Ovis aries: one gene and its partners. Each later gene encodes a partner of the first gene's protein in a complex. Links are inferred from orthologs where the notes say so. Each region holds a gene or a part of one and is shown in the gene's direction. Other genes may lie near its edges. The genes, in order: PPP4R2, PPP4R3B and PPP4C.

Evidence for each region.
Region 2: PPP4R2 (region 1) and PPP4R3B share a complex: the UniProt entries of both Homo sapiens proteins name them as parts of the PP4 complex. The link is inferred for Ovis aries from reciprocal best matches to the Homo sapiens genes PPP4R2 and PPP4R3B.
Region 3: PPP4R2 (region 1) and PPP4C share a complex: the UniProt entries of both Homo sapiens proteins name them as parts of the PP4 complex. The link is inferred for Ovis aries from reciprocal best matches to the Homo sapiens genes PPP4R2 and PPP4C.

Annotation. Positions count from the first base shown.
Region 1 is NC_056072.1:28,810,485-28,816,212, reverse strand, and holds the start of PPP4R2 (serine/threonine-protein phosphatase 4 regulatory subunit 2), read left to right. Parts: upstream 1-2,346; 5' UTR 2,347-2,573; coding exon 2,574-2,607; intron 2,608-3,553; coding exon 3,554-3,635; intron 3,636-5,728. UniProt on the Homo sapiens protein: Regulatory subunit of serine/threonine-protein phosphatase 4 (PP4). May regulate the activity of PPP4C at centrosomal microtubule organizing centers.
Region 2 is NC_056056.1:68,467,194-68,473,169, forward strand, and holds the start of PPP4R3B (serine/threonine-protein phosphatase 4 regulatory subunit 3B), read left to right. Parts: upstream 1-1,982; 5' UTR 1,983-2,317; coding exon 2,318-2,459; exon of another isoform or gene 2,460-2,596; intron 2,597-3,763; coding exon 3,764-3,819; intron 3,820-5,976. UniProt on the Homo sapiens protein: Regulatory subunit of serine/threonine-protein phosphatase 4 (PP4). May regulate the activity of PPP4C at centrosomal microtubule organizing centers.
Region 3 is NC_056077.1:26,717,597-26,722,129, reverse strand, and holds part of PPP4C (serine/threonine-protein phosphatase 4 catalytic subunit), read left to right. Parts: intron 1-1,674; coding exon 1,675-1,726; intron 1,727-1,768; exon of another isoform or gene 1,769-1,933; intron 1,934-2,656; coding exon 2,657-2,707; intron 2,708-2,922; coding exon 2,923-3,024; intron 3,025-3,602; coding exon 3,603-3,776; intron 3,777-3,865; coding exon 3,866-3,992; intron 3,993-4,533. UniProt on the Homo sapiens protein: Protein phosphatase that is involved in many processes such as microtubule organization at centrosomes, maturation of spliceosomal snRNPs, apoptosis, DNA repair, tumor necrosis factor (TNF)-alpha signaling, activation of c-Jun N-terminal kinase MAPK8, regulation of histone acetylation, DNA damage checkpoint signaling, NF-kappa-B activation and cell migration.

The DNA of each region.
Region 1 (5,728 bases):
GAGGCTCTAGCAATCGCAGACAGTGAGATGAGCTCTGGCTAGAGAAAAGTTTCCAGGAAGAAGGAAGAAAGGAACCAAATAAAATATTTCCTCAGCCTTATCCCTTGCCTCTCCCTCCATTGCACTCTCAGCTTTAGCCAGACTGAAACCACCTCACTCCTCGATCTCATTTCAAGGCCCGTGCACATCTACAGTTTTTCTCTTTGAATGTTTCTCCTCTCCACTTCACTTGGGCTACTTTCCTTTCAGAATTCAGCTCTCAGCTTAAACACAACTACTTCCTCTAGGGAAAGTTTTCCCTGATTCCCTTAGGCTGTGGCTGCTGTGTGTACTTTATCTCCTTTCAAGGACCTTATCCAGTTATTAGAAGTCACTTTGGAGGCATCTCCAAGTGAGGGGAACAGCTGATGAAAAGGGACAGAGCAAGGTGTAAGAAATTAGCATCTTATGTTCTCTAAAAGAAAGTTCCAGAAGAACTTTAGGCGATCATGGAATTTTCTTTCTCTGCTGTACAATGCAAAAGTCACTAGCCTCATGGGGCTTCTGAACACAGGAAATGTGGCTAGCAAGACTGAGGAATTGAATTGTATTGAGGAACTCAGGAGTTGAATTTAAATTTTATTTAATTTAAGTTTAAATACCTACACATGGCTAGTGGTGACTGTATTGTTCCACACAGTTCCTACCAGAAGACCCCTGCTTAAAGACAGTCCAGGGTGGCAGAGGGAGGCTAAGCTTTGCTATGTAGAGGACGGGCCCCTTCAGACTGGAAAGGCTCCTCTGTCCTTGGAATTCTCCAGGCAAGAATACTGGAGTGGGTTGCCATTTTCTTCTCCAGAGGACAATAAACTAAATCCAATGTATTTAATGGGCTTTCCTGGTGGCTCAGCCATAAACAATCCACCTGCAATGCAGGAGATGTGAGTTCGATCCCTGGGTGGGGAAGGTCCCCTGGAGGAGGGCGTGGCAACCTACTCCAATATTCTTGCTGGGATAATCCCATGGACAGAGGAACGCGGCAGGCTTTAGTTCAGAGTGTTGCAGAGTCAGACAAGACTGAAGCAACCAAACGCAAACATGGGTGCATTTAAAGCACTGGCCCAGGGTGAAGACACCATTCTAATACATCTCCTACAAGGCTCTTTGTAACTGAGCAGGATGCTTAGAACAGTGAAAGGATCTAAAGATACTAGGGACTAGTTCTCTGATGGCAAAATTGAAGAAATTTTTTTGTAGTGGGGCTTTTCCCTACGTCTGCCACCTACGGTCAGGGTCAGAGCCACTATCTTTTAAGAGGGTCAACACTTGTGATGGTTGTGTCTAAATTTGCACTTTCTAACACCAGTCAAGAATTAGCTTTCTGTCCTCCCTGCCGCCCCTCTCCCTTCCTTCCATGGGTTTGTGTTAGGATTTGAGAAGCGATGGTGGAACAATTCAGTAACTTTTCTTGAAAAGCTCACAGATAAGGGAGAGTAATAAAGATGTTCACACACTAGCTGGTTGCCAGAGGTTCTAGGTTCTACTGTTTTGCTAGACTACGTGTCTACGCCTCAGCTATCCCGTTTGTAAGATGTCAGGGCTGGGAGAGGACTTCTGAGGCCTCCGCCCTAACTTCCTGGGCGCTTATGTAATGTAATCAAAACCATAATGATAATAAAAACAGCAGCCACATGAACTTGAGTGCTTATATTCCAGGCACCACACGCGCTCAATGCTTTATTGTCGCAGTTTCACGAATTTCCATTTTGTGGATGAGAAAACAGAAGCTATGTGAGTTTAAGCAACTAGGTCACACAAGTATTATTAATAAATAGTTGCGTTGGACTTTATATTCAGCTGGTTCCATTGGTTAAACTTCTCATGCTTTTGCTGCGCTCACTCCTTCTTTTCAAGCCTGGGCCATTGAGGTGCTTTGGGTTCAGGCAGGGAGTTAATTTTGTCACGATTACTAGTGATACTCAGTTTTTTTTTTAATGCGTGTTCTGTGTGTATACAGTCTCACTTAATTTTCACAGCAACCGTAAAGAGTGGTTCATACTACTCCCACTATTGTACAGATGGGGAAAGGGAGGCTCAGAGGGACTGATTAAATTGCTCAAGGTCACACAGCTAGCAAGCAGCTGGGATCCACAGTCAAACTGCGCCCACCCCGCCGCCGAGACCACTCCGCCTCCAGCTTGGTGCAGGCAGCTCCGGCCAACCCAAGGGATAGGCGGGGCGGCCCTGCCGGGTCTGGGGGCCGGCCGCGGCCGCACGCCTCCGCCGCGCACGCGCTCTCGGGCTCCGGGTCCGGACGCGCCGCGGGCGCGAGGACGGCGGCGAGGAGCGTGCGCGCGGTGACGTGCCGGGCGCCATGTTGGAGGGCTGGTGGTAGCGGCTCGGGGAGGTGCTCGCTCTCTCGGTCTCGCTCTCTCGCTCGCTTCCCCCAGCTCCCTTCGGTGCCCCCCCCGAATCGCCTGCGTGCCGGAGTGTGTGCGAGGGAGGGGGAGGGCGTCGGGGGGGTGGGGGGAGGCCTTCCGGTCCCCGGGAGACCTGCGGAAGGAGGCGGAGGCTGCGAGGGACTCCGGGAAGCCATGGACGTCGAGAGGCTGCAGGAGGCGCTGAAAGGTGGGGGTAGCTGCCCCCTCTCCCTTCCTCCTTACCCTCCGTGGCCGCCTCTCCGCTCCCTTCTGGGCGAGTGACTCCGCGGGGCCAGGCTGGGGGAGGGCGCGCTTCCCCGGCTCCCATCCCCCCTCCCGCTTTCCCGGGGGCGGGGAGCCCCGTGGGCAGCTCCCTCCCGCCCCGCTCTGGGCTTTGTGTCGGCCGCCGGCGTCTGGGCTGGGGGAGGGGAGTCGGGAAGCTCTCGAGGGGGCCCCGGCCCCTCTCCCACTCCCCGTGAACGTTTCGGGGGCCCGCAGCCCCTCGCAGGCAGGCTTCGTTCTCTATCATCCCCCTGCACACCGGACATCGTGGGGAGAGGGAAAGTGAAAGGTTTCGGGGCGGGGGTAAGGGGGCGGCAGAGCAACTTTCAAGTGTCTCTGGAGGCCCTTTTTTCAGAGCTTCTGGAGTCATCTTCCACGCGCCCCAATTCTGAAGTGGTCGCCTTCCCAGTTCCGAATTGCTCGCCATCCGAGCAACAGGCTTGAGAACTTAGAATACCGTGATTGCAGCGTTTTGAGAATTAGACTTTGATACCAAGGATCATTGGTTGATGACTGCAAGAGGGAGCTGGTGTTTCATATAACGCAGATTTATGAACCTCACGTAAACACTTTGGGGGGAGTTGGGATCTGGGGTTTGTATTTTAACAGGTCTTTGAGATGAATCCCCCGGACTGCATTAAGGATGGTTGGTGGAGAAGTGCCCCCTTTAGGAAGGGTCTCGTTATCTGTGAAGAGTGACATTTGAAGTTGGAGAGTCAGGTGGAATTTATTTGAGAGGCTTTTTAAATTAAAAATAAAATTAGTTTCTTAATATGAGGAATGACTGGAGAGGAAAGTTTGTTTTTAAAGGGCATTGGAAATGGTTGGTGGACTTTGAAAAATACTAATAACTTCTTTCTTCCCTTATCTAGATTTTGAGAAGAGGGGGAAAAAGGAAGTTTGTCCGGTCCTGGATCAGTTTCTTTGTCATGTAGCCAAGACTGGAGAAACAATGTGAGTTGAAAACATAATCGTATTCATAAACCTGTGTGTCCTTAAGAATCTCTTAGGAAAGGGACAGAAGTGTATTTCAGAAGCATTGAATAATCCATCTGTCTAAATTGTACAAGCCCCATATTTAAAGCATTTACTCAGTGTATATGCTTCATTCACTTCACACCATGCTCTGTAATGAATTTTTAAATTGTATTAAAATTTTTCTTTATGCTTTTGCACATTTAGAATGTATTCCTCTAGAACAGCCAGAGAAAGGAAGAATGCATGTTCCATTGTGACTCTTTTTGGCCATTAACAAGCGGGCTTATTTCCAGAATTCTGTGGCTTTGATTCTATTTCAGCTTCTTTTTTTTTTTTTTTTTTTTTTAGTGGTGGTATTTTCTCATATTGTCCTGTATCCAGCCTTTTGTTGTCATTTATATATGTGGGTGCTGGAAGTATCACTTCTGCTTATTCTCTTGGGCACTCAGGGTGATTATCTGACAAATTCCAGATGCTACAGTCTTGACTGTCCTGTAAACTTTCTAGGATAGCTAGCTTGTTAGCATATGCTCAGCATTTTATTAGGCTTGATTCCAAATGTTGTGAATCTGAAACTTATACTGTGAAGTTAAGACTGTTTTCAAAGGAACGTTTATGAATCTAAAACTTACACTGTGAAGTTAAGATTGTTTTCAAAGGAACATTGTTTCATAGTGTCCAGTGTGTTTTGCAGAAGTTGTTTTCATTCTTGTACTGTTCATTTGTAGAGAGCAGTGAAGATTTGGTGACTGATTTGTAGTCGTGTCTTTGTATAGGGGTAGGGAGCAGGAAGGGGAGAGGTTTTGGAGGGTGTAGTGTTAAAAAGTGGGATTTTTAAAAATTCTTTTTGAGGCCTAATAAAAAAAGTGTAAGCTTCAGCAATTATGTACATTACATAATTATGTATCCTTTTGTTTGGCTTTATTAGCAAATGTTCATTTCTTACAAGATTTGCTTATGGTTGCAGCATAGTCTCCTGATAACTAGCCTGCTTTTAAAAGGGGCAGGGGGAACCTCTTTAGTGGTCATGCCAACAAACTGAAACTCCTTGGTGCTTATTAAAATTACCAGTCACCTTAGGAATTTGACTGATGCATTCAATCTTAAGTTTATACTTACTGCCTTAAAAAAGTGGAACCCTTCAGAATTAAAAAAAAGTCATTTTTGCTTCTGAGTTATAGTCTCTTAGAACATCTTGATTTTTAAAAAATTGATGCTGAATAACTAATTTGTATTAATTGTTAGTTGGTCCTAACTTATACCTCTACAATATCAGGAGGAGAAGCATTTTACTTCAGAGTTTTAATAAACAAGATTGTTTGGAGTTAAATACTTAAAACCTCTTTCTAGGTCTGTGCAGATTGCCTTCCCTTCTTGATATAGTGCATTGGCCATAAATGTATAAATAGTTGAAAGTTTCTTCAAGGAAGCTTTTTAATATCCTGTTTGACTGGATCACCAAGTGGCTTGGAAAATTTAACCTGATTTTTCTGAACAATTATTTATCTAATAGAGGACTTCAGAAGATCATCAGTCTTCCCATCCTTGTCCACACTCCTCCTCCCTCCCGGCTAATCTCTAGGTCTTACTATAGGTCTTACTATTTTTGTATTAAAATGACTGATGGTGTTAGATTCTTTATGGATTTTGGAAGATATTTTTAAATTTATGATTCAGTGGTTTTACATTTAGTTTTATTTAGCCTTTGGTTTTTTAATCAATTTGAGCGTGCCTTAACTTTTGATATGGAAATTTGCAGTTTCTGTCATCATTTATGGTTAAACTGATTAAACTGTTCTGAAATTGTATGTAAATAGAATTATACAGTGTATTCTTTGTCTTTTAACAATTTTTTTTTAAATTGGAGGATAATTGCTTTATATCTGCCTTTTTTTACTCAGGGTGACTTAAGATGACTCCATGTCCAGAAATCAATAATTCATTCCTTTTTATTTTTTAGTAGTAGTCTTTACATGGATATCCTACAGATTTTGGTTCATTCACTTGTTGATGGACATTCGCATTATTTCCAGGTTTTAAAAAACAAACTATGAACATTCGTGTATGCG
Region 2 (5,976 bases), on another chromosome or scaffold:
ATGGTAGAGCCTGGTGGGCTGCCGTCTGTGGGGTCGCACAGAGTCGGACACGACTGAAGCAACTTAGCAGCAGTAGCAGCATAGGATATTAAGCTTTTAACGTATGGTGTCAAAGTGACTTCTATATAGTTCTCATTTTCAATATTAATACATACCTTGCTCATAAATTCTTTTAGGCCAGTAACACATTATGACTTTGTTCACCTGGTCCCCACAGCCTTAAACACCTTTCAAGCCAAACTTCCACTCAGGGATCCTCTAACATCAGGTCCCAAAGTTACCAGTGTGAAGCCTTCTCTGACCTGAGATAGAGATGTTATTTTCTCTGGGTTCAAAATGCATTTTGTGCACATTAGTCACAGCAATTAATGTGCTCTTTTGCTACATATATTGCACGCATCTGTGCTCAGTCACTAAGTCATTTCAGACTCTTCTGTGACCCCATGGACTGTAGCCGACCAGGCTTCTCTGTTCCTGGGGTTTTCCCGGGCAAGAATACTAGAGTGGGTTGCCATTTCCTTCTCCACAGGATCTTCCCCACCCAGGAATCGAACCTGCATCTCGTCTCCTGCAATTCTTTACCCCTGCAGTTCAGTTCAGTCGCTCAGTCGTGTCCGACTCTTTGCGACCTCCTGCACCACCTAGGAAATCCCCAACACATGTAACTACTTAAATTCAAGTGTATTTTCTTAGGTTCTCTTTAGATTAAAAGAAAACCCTATGTAGCCAGATTTTGAAATGAGAGTTTATTTTTCATCAGGAGCCTACTCTGTGTAAGCATGTCACGTGTCAGTTCGTATGCTGGGTTTACGCACAAGATTTGGTCAAAAGAGAAGCACGCTTTGACAACACCATTGGTAAGGAATGACTACAACTCCCAAGATGCGCCGCAGGGTAAAACCTGTCGATCTCGCTTGATTCTCACCCTTCAGACTAAAGGGTTGTCAAGAGCTGGCGGCAGAACAAACTGAAACTGTCTTTAAAAACGAACAAAAAGAAATCTACCAAGAACGAACAGCGACTGACAAACAATACCGCGCAGTGTCTGACAATTAATGTGATGTGTGACAACCGAAGTGAACGTCCAGAGGACTGCCCCCTCGCTTATTCAGTGCGGAAGACCTCCCGAGAGAGAACGCTAGAAATGCCAGCAGGAGACACTCAAAGATATGGAAACAGTGCTCTTAGATGTGTTAGGAAGGTAGTTCCCCGCCACTTGCCTAAACTTATCTGAAGACTTACGTTCCGAGGTTACCAACGCAGGAAGGACACTGTTTTCAAGAAGCGGAAAGTATGCCAGCCACCAAAAGCCTGACAAGAAATAACGCCTGAACGAGAAATAAACTGCCAATGCACTTTTGTACGATGTTATAATCTCCTGGATAGCCACAGAACATCCTGAGGAGATGCTTAACTGTAGCAGACTCCTTAGCGAGTTTCAGTGGGTTTCGAGTCGCAGTAAAGGGCTAACGTCTTCACAGAAAGAGGTTTAAACTATTTTTCTCTCACAGGCTGAAAGGGCGAGCTTCCATTATGGAGTGCGAGCACATTTCCTTCCCTTCTGCTCAGGGTGAGTCCCGTCCAAGGATGCGTACCTCCCAGACTTGCTTCGTTTTTTCCACAGAGCTAGAGTCCACGGCTGCTCACACGCCGGGCGCAGCCCCAACAAACCGCACGAAGCCGAAGCCACAACTCCGCCCTCGCCGCCAGTGCAGAGAAGTCTCGCGGCACCAGCGAAGACCCGGAGCTCGCGAGAACCGCCCACCTGGCGAGAGCCCACGCCTGCAGGCGGGGCCGAGAGAGGAGGAAGTCGCACTTAGACCCACCCACCTCACTCCACTACCCCTCCTCGCGAGAATACTGAGCTTGGCCGACCTGGGTAGCGCGTGCAGAAACAGAGGCGTCACACGTTGGACTCGTCGGCCGCCGTAGCCCCTGCTAGGACAGCCCGTGCGAACCTGCTGGAGGAGGAAGAGAAAGGCAGAGAGAATCGGGTTACAAGATGGCGGGTCTTTAGTAGTTACCGCGGCGGCGGCGCGGCGGCGGCGGGAGAGCGAGCGAGCTCTGGGGGGTAAAGGGTGGGGAGGGTGGGTGCGTTCGGGGGTGAAGTGAGAGGTAACTGGGAATCTGGACGGCAAGGTCTCAGTGGCTCCTGTTGCCCTTTCCCGCGGCTGAACCTGGGAGCCATGGTGAACTCGGGCCTCTCCGGAGCCGCCGCCGCCGCTGCCGCCACCGCCGCTACCGTCTCTCAAGAGTGAGGGGCGTAAAGGAGGTGAGCAAGGAGGCGGCGGCTGGAACAGTGGGGACAGCAGTCACCATGTCGGATACGCGGCGGCGAGTGAAGGTCTATACCCTGAACGAAGACCGGCAATGGGACGACCGAGGCACCGGGCACGTCTCCTCTACCTATGTGGAGGAGCTCAAGGGAATGTCGCTGCTGGTTCGGGCAGAGTCCGACGGTAAGGTTATTGGAACCGTAGCATAGGGGACAATGCCTCCGGTTTGGGCACAGCCTGGGGTTTAGGCCCTGAGCCGAGTACTGTTACTGCCAGCCACTTGGAACAGCGCATTGGTTTTGTGTCTTCACTTCAGTAAGGTAACAGCAAACTACTTTGTCGGGATTGACCCTCAGTCGTACGCCGAGTCTCTGTTTCCTCCTCTTGCTAGCCTTATTAAAACACTTGATCCCTTTCTCTGCAGTCTGGCCTCTTAAAGAAGCGGGGAGAGTGTGGGAGGGAAGGGAGGAAGTAATGAAAAACAGTTTAGTGCTCTCCTTCTGACCCTCCCCGTCCCCCTTTATTTTCTTACACATTTTATCTCTGATACAAAAAATTTAATGAAACGTTACTCTTTTTTAAAAAATTGATTTTATTAACAAGCTCCAGTTGCCACAGTAGACAGGTGCTGGGAAAAACCAAAAGACGCCTTTTTCCTGGGGTTATTGCAGATTGTTGCCACGATACATGCACTCACAAGCACATACATCTTCAGACTGGGATCCCTCCAGGCTATCTTTGTAGAGGGTGCTGTGAACAAGTGAATACTTTACAACTTAAACAAGTTAGGACAACAGACCAGACTGTAAACTTGTATTCCTTGATTTATTGTACGAGTCTAATGTGAAATATTTTTAAATGATAAAATGTATAGCCTTAATGAAGACACCTTCCTCACTGTAATCTGACCGCTGGATTTGAGCAGCTGATAACGTGCAAATAAAAGAATAATAGTCTTCGGTTTATTTTCGACACATCTTGTACTCTTGCACCTTTTTTTTAAAGTAATCATAGACATTTATTTTTACATGAGGTGGCCTTTGTTCTTAGAAAAGGATAAATGCAGTTTTGTAATTTGTGTGCAAAGTATTTAGATCCCTGTTGTGGTACTTTGTAATTTGTTTTATTTGTTAAACTGGAAATGCAATAAAAATAACTTTGTTAAAAAGAATTTGGTTTCAGGTGGTCATTTAGACCTTAAAAAGTTTCCTTTCAATAAAACTATAAGTCATCTAGTCTCTGTATATTCTTGGTCTGAATGTTGGTCTTAGATGGATTTTTTTCCCTTAAGAGTATTATGGGGATAGAATGATATGTTCTAATGCAAAGTCCAGATCTTGAGAGAAAAATGTAAACTGGAGTATATTTGATGACTTAAGATGTCTTGCCTGGGAAAGAAAAAAGTTTTTTTTTTTAATGTGTATTCTGATGTTTTACTCAGGGTTTTGTAAGTTGAAACTTATAAATATTATTTTTTTAACTTTCAGGATCACTACTCTTGGAATCAAAGATAAATCCAAACACTGCATATCAAAAACAGCAGGCAAGTAGTTGTTTATCTTTAATTTGAAAGACTTCATCTGTGATCAAGGAAGTATTAATCAGACAAAGAATGGGAAAGCTTTCCTGACAAGAAAAAAAACATTTGGTAAACAAAGTTACATACTGTATGTATTTTCCTTGCAGATTAAAAGTTTTCAAACTGAAAAGTGCAAGCTTTTGTACTGGCAGTAATTTATTATCTTTGAATTGAGCCACTGTTAGTTTCTAGTAGAATACAATGTATTCATTAGTCTTACTTAACTGCAGCTAGTCAGGTATCTTTTATACACTGTACACTAAGCCTTTTATTCTCAATCACAGTTAAAGGAAATGGCATAAAAGAAAATTCATAGGAGTACTCTTTAAAGCAAGGAAAGCCTGTTTGTGGTGTGAAAGTAGATTCTTTGACTCATACAGAGGTAAAACTTTGAAGTAGAAGCACTTAACATCCTGTTCTTTAATTGTATATTTTTAATATAATAACCAATTGATATTTTATGAAAGTGTACACTGCTTATTATGTAATGTTTTCTGTTAATATTTATTGTCTTATCTGGGAAAAGAAAATCTATGTTGTGTATTAGTGTGCCTAATTATCTAATCTGGAAATGGCAGCAGTGATTCAACCTTTCCTTTATTCTGTGAATGTTTTCTTTTTTATTATGAAAAATTTCAAAATTGAAAAGTACAGAGAATAATATAATGAGTGTCTGTGTAACACCTCCAAATTTAACAATGTTAACATTTTACCATATCTGTTTCTAATCTTTTTGTAGTGTTGAACATTGTGGATAGAATTAAAACTCTCTTTGTACCCATTTCATTCTATCCATTCTCCATCCTCCCTATAGGTAACCACTATTCTGAAATTGATGTGTATTATTTCTGTACATGCTTTTATACCTTTTCTGCATATGTATGTATCCATAAAGAATATGTAGTCTTTTGTTTGTTTTAAACTTTGCACAATTGATCTCCTATTCTTACATGTACTCTGCAGCTTTCATTTTTCACTCAGTACTGTTTTGAAGATTTGTTCATGTTAACAATGCAGATCTAGTTGGGCTTTTTTTAAAAACACTGTATGATATATACACCTGTTGTTAGAAATTTGGATTATTACTGATTTTTAGTGTGTTTGATGTGTAAAGTGAATATGGCAGAGATTTTTGGAGGAAAAGATAATTTTCCAGTGTATTTTGTGTGTGTGTGCAGTGTGTAAAGTGAATATGGTAGAGGTTTTTAAAGGAAAAAATAAATAATTTGAAGGAAAAGATCATTATATTTATATCATCAGTGCCTACTCTCTTCAAGATCAGTGAAAATTTTGATGCTCAGAAACAAATACTTTACAGTTGGAGAAATGAAATTATATGTCTATTGCACGGTGCATTGTTAGTAAAAGTCTTACTGTTAAAACAATTATTTTGTGTATACAATACATTCATAATCAGTAATTTGAAATATTTTTGAATTTTTAATATTCAAGTAATAGTGTTTTTTTCTGCTTATAAAATACTATGTGTTTTTTTGAGAGAGAATCAAACATTTATTCTGTGTTGAACCCTGAAGATATTTCTTTTAAGTCAGCTAGTCAGATGGTTATTCTCTGTCTTTATACTGACTTATACCAGATAGCCACTTTGAGTTTGTTTTTTTTGTTTGTTTGCTTGCTTGCTTCGTGACTAAATATTTTGTAATCATTTTGTTTTCCACCTGCATAAATATAAAATTCTCAGGAACTGTTTTCTTAAGTACGACTCCCTACAAATTAGTTATATTATGGAGTCTTTTCAAATTGTATATGAAATCCTTTAGTTGTTTTAACTGGAAAGATCCCCTTATGGTTTAGGTTTGTGTATAAAATAATCCATCATCATTAGTTCAGAATTACACAGTGGTTCTGTGAATATTTTTAGAAACTTTGGGACATAATTTTGTGTGTCCTGTTACTCTGCTAGAAAATTTAAATAATATAGGAGAGAGATCTTTACTTAAAAAAAATTTTTTAATGCCATTAGGGGAGTAGTTTTTGTAATTAATCACACTTAAATAATATACCATTAGGACTTTTAAAAAAATATTTCCCTCATTGAAATTTTAATAATTGTACTAAATAACATTAAAGTACTAATAATTTAGTACTTTTACTAATAAA
Region 3 (4,533 bases), on another chromosome or scaffold:
AGAGGCCCATCTCAAGCATCTGGCCGTGGCCTCCTGGGGACCCACCAGGGCCCCAGGCTGAGACTGGTGGTGTCAAGAACTTTCATTTGCCCAGTGGATACCGAGACTCAAGGCCTTGAAACTGCAAAGGCCTGGGAGCTGCATTTGCTCCTATGAAAAACATCAGCAGTTGAGAACAGCAGAGGGTTTTGAATGAGGTGGTCTTCAGGATGAAGTATAGCTTTGTCACCTGTAAATGGTATGACCCTGGTCCAGTCATTCTTATGTCTCCAAGTCTGAAATTCTTGCAGAGCTCAGATGAGATTCTGCATATCCAGAGACAGCATCTCATTCTTTGGTCAATGGTCAGCAGTGAAAGTGAGCAAGTGTGAGCCCTGAGAGGGCTGATGCCGCGGCCTGGTTCCCACATTGCGCTGAGGCCTTGCTGGCACGGAGGCAGGTTTTGACCGAGTCTGTGGAAAGGGCTGGTGTAAAGTCTCAGGAGATCTGTTCTCAGTTCCAGCCACCCTCCAGCTTTGTGACCTGGATCCTGCCCCTTTTCTCTCTAAACCTCAGTTTCTTTGTCTGATGAGGATGGGAAGAACCTCCCAAGTCAGTTGGAAAAGTATTGTAAGCAGTGGTGTGAGGATGTTTGGTACAAGATGCAGGACAGGCGGGAGAGCCTGGTTGCTCTCTGGCCCCTTGTATCACCGCCAGTGGCTCTTCCCATTCCTGGAAACCAGGGCACACCTCCCTGGAGCTGCCTTAGTTATGCAGTGCACCCTGAGCCCAGGGAGCTCCTGGTCTGGTGGGAAGGGACTGGCCGAGAGAGTGATGGCTGAGCAGGTGCCTCCCACATCAGACTCGCTTAATAAGAGCCAGACCCCAGAGTAGGCCGCCTTGGTTCAGTTCCTGTCTGTGTGGCCACAGCCGCTTTCTTCATCTGAGCCGTGGGAATCATTATAGCACCTGCCTTTGAGGGTGGTGGTTTGAGTGCCCGCATCATCCATGCAGAACTTTTTTAACGACTGACCTGGCACGTGGTGCGAACTGCTGCGTCCTTGGCTCCTCTGATCGTCAAGGACGAAATCTGGAAGCACAGCGCTACTTAACGTTGGGTGTCCGTAATGGGCAGTGATTTACATGTCAAGCTCGTTCAGGTAGAAGTAGATCACACTGCAAGGAAAGAGGGAGCACAGAGTCCTCGCTTCCTCTGAATGATAGAAGAGTGGCAACAGCATATCGCCTTGAAGGTGGATCTGATGGCTGGCCTGCCCAGGGCACCACCCTTGTGCCCAAGAACATTCCAGGGGAAGAAGGCCCCTGGGGTGGGGAGAGAGGGGCTGTAAGAGCCCAGCCAAGGCACTGTGTGGACAGGAGGAGGAGCTCTTGTCTTCTGGGAGTCGTTGCCAGATGTGTGAAAGGGAGCAGCCAGGAGGGTCAAGGTCAGGAAAGTCCTAGACTCCTTGGGAAGGCCTTGGATGCTGAACAAGAGCTGGGGCTTTGGCCTGTCAACTGTGGGGAACCACAGAAGGGTCTCGAACTTGGGGGCTGTGATTAGCCTTGCCTGGGGGAATTGTACACCTCCCACCTGCCCTATGGAGGTTCACGCCTCATCCTCTCTTCCCCTGCAGAAAAGGTCAGAAATTGGGTTGGGCTGGCCCGGCTCTGGTAACTTTGGTCTTCTGTCTCCAGAGAGATCTTGGTGGAGGAGAGCAACGTGCAGAGGGTGGACTCTCCAGTCACAGTGAGTTCCCGCTGTCCCCCCACAGCCTAGCTCGGTCTGTTAGGCCTGTGGGCGTCCTCCTTAGTCTTGTGGGCTCCAGGGTCTACCCCTCATCCCTGGGAGCCCCATCTTCAAGAGAGCCTTGCTAGAAGAAATGGTGGTTGTGGGCATGGTCTTTGGAGTCACTGGAGGGATGCTCTTGGCCTGGGCAGAAGGACTCTTAATTTGGTGAGTGAGTGAACTCCACGTGTTCCTGTGTGTTACTAGTGACTTTATTCTGGGTGTCTGGAGGGGAGTAGGGAGAGGAGGAGGCCAGGTTCTCTGGGAGCTGCAAGTCTAGCTGGAAAGAATTTGCTCTAGCTCTTGCCCACAGAATAGTTGGCACTCAGAGTGGGATGGGGGGATTGGGGTGGGAGAGGAGATTCTCGACTCTGGGAAGTAGAAGCTTTCAATCCAGGGAAGATCTCCTAGAAGAGGAAATGGTAACAGCTCCATATTCTTAGCTGGAAAATTCCACAGACAGAGGAGCCTGGTGGGCTACAGTCCATGGGGTTGCACAGAGTTGGGCATGGCTGAGCACATACACACACTCTCTCTTGGCTTGGCCGAGATGGATAAGGATCTTCTAAAGCAGGGACTTCCAGGTGGCTCTTGCCCTCTGAGAGGTCCCACATTCTGTCTGTGGAGTGTGTTTCTCTAAATAAATCCATTTCTTACCCGTAAATAAATGAAGCCAGGACTTCCCTGGTGGTCCAGCAGTTAAGACTCTGTGCTTCCACTGCAGGAGTTGTGGGCTTGTGGGTTTAATCCCTGGTGGGAACTAAGATCCCATGTGCCATGCAATGAGGCCAGAATTTTTAAAAAAAATAAAGCAGTAGGGTGTTTTTGAAGGACAGCCCCTGGCAGAAAGGCTTTCAGACTCTGAGTTCTGACCTGCCTCCTCACTTCCAGGTATGTGGTGACATCCATGGACAATTCTATGACCTCAAGGAGCTGTTCAGAGTGAGTGTGGGGAATGCCAGGAAAGGTGACCCAGGGGATGACTGCAAGACCCCTTTAGTTGAGAGTGGAGACTTTGGTGATGGGGTTGGGGGTCAGAGGCCTCTAGTTAGGTAGGCCCATTGTGGAAGAAGGGCCTCGACTTGACTGGAAATGGGCCGGTGCAGTGGGTTGGGGCGAGTTTAGGACCAAGCTGAACCTTCTTCCTCCCTCCCCAGGTGGGTGGCGATGTCCCTGAGACTAACTACCTCTTCATGGGGGACTTTGTGGATCGTGGTTTCTACAGTGTCGAAACGTTTCTCCTGCTGCTGGCACTTAAGGTGGGAACCCGCTGGCTTCTGGAGCCAAGACCTGGTCTGATTTGGCCTGCATCCTTTCTGCCCTCATTTCCTGCCCCATCTGCCCCCAAGTCTTGAGCTGTGCTGCTGGTGATAGACCGTTGCTGCTTGGGTGGTCAGGCAGCTTTCCTTGACTTGGGGGCATCTGATGAGGTCGAGGTGGGGACGGCATCATAGCGGGAAGGAAGAGAGGCTCACCCTGTTCAGAAAGTGGCCCGAGTGGAGTTCAGCTGGATACAGTATCCATTGGTAGGAGAGAGGTCGTAAGAGGCCAGATAACAAGGTGCTCTAAATGTCTTGCTAAGGGCTTGGTCCATACCTGGTGGATGAAGGAGGGACGGTTAGGTTTGTAGTTGAAGTGGGGGGTGGGAGGGAGTGAGAGGATTTGGCTTTGGATCCTCTGGAGGTGGGTCGGGGTGCCCGTGAGGTGAGTGTGGCACGATCCGGGCAGAGATGACTGGAATCTGGACTGGGGCGGTGGTGACGAGGGTGGAGCAGGGCTGGCAGACACGAGGACGTCGAGGAGGGAGGGACAGGCCCTGCATGGTGACTGCCTGCAGGTTCGCTATCCTGACCGCATCACCCTGATCCGGGGCAACCACGAGAGCCGTCAGATCACCCAGGTCTACGGCTTCTACGACGAGTGTCTGCGCAAGTACGGCTCAGTGACCGTGTGGCGCTACTGCACTGAGATCTTTGACTACCTCAGCCTGTCGGCCATCATCGATGGCAAGGTAGGCCCGCCGTGCAGCTCCCTGGGGACGGGAGGGCCGGCGGGGCTACAAGAGGCGCCGGGCCCCAGCCGGTCTTGCTCTCCTCGTAGATCTTCTGTGTGCACGGGGGGCTCTCCCCCTCCATCCAGACGCTGGACCAGATCCGGACAATTGACCGGAAGCAAGAGGTGCCCCACGACGGGCCCATGTGTGACCTGCTCTGGTCCGACCCTGAAGGTGAGGGCAAGAGCTCTGCTCTTAGCTTGGTGAGTGACCGAGGGGATCCTGTGGTTAGAGCAGGTGCCTGGAAGGGGTGGCCCTGGGCAGGTGAGTTTGGGGCAGAGTGGGGCTGGTCTTCACTGGCATTGGTGCTTGATGACCAGTGGGCTGGCATCCTCTATGAGGAGTGGGGATGAGGGTAGCTGGGTGCTTTGAGCTAGGGGGTTGGGGGGCATGTACGTCATACCTCAGGGGCTTGTTGAATGTGAATCATCAGCTTCCTGAATGTGAAGGGGCTGCTGCAAGGATCAGGCTCCCAGAATGATTGCCCCCAGAACCCACCTGCCAGTGCAGGAGATGTAAGAGATGCGGGTTCAATCCCTGGGTCGGGAAGATCCCCAGGAGGAGGGCATGGCAACCCACTCCAGTATTCTTGCCTGGAGAATCCCAAGGACAGGAGCCTGGTGGGCTACAGTCCATAGGGTCACAAAGTCAGACATAACTGAAGTCACTTAGCACGTACACACAAGGCGCCCTCATGTTGTGGGTGTTAGCTAGT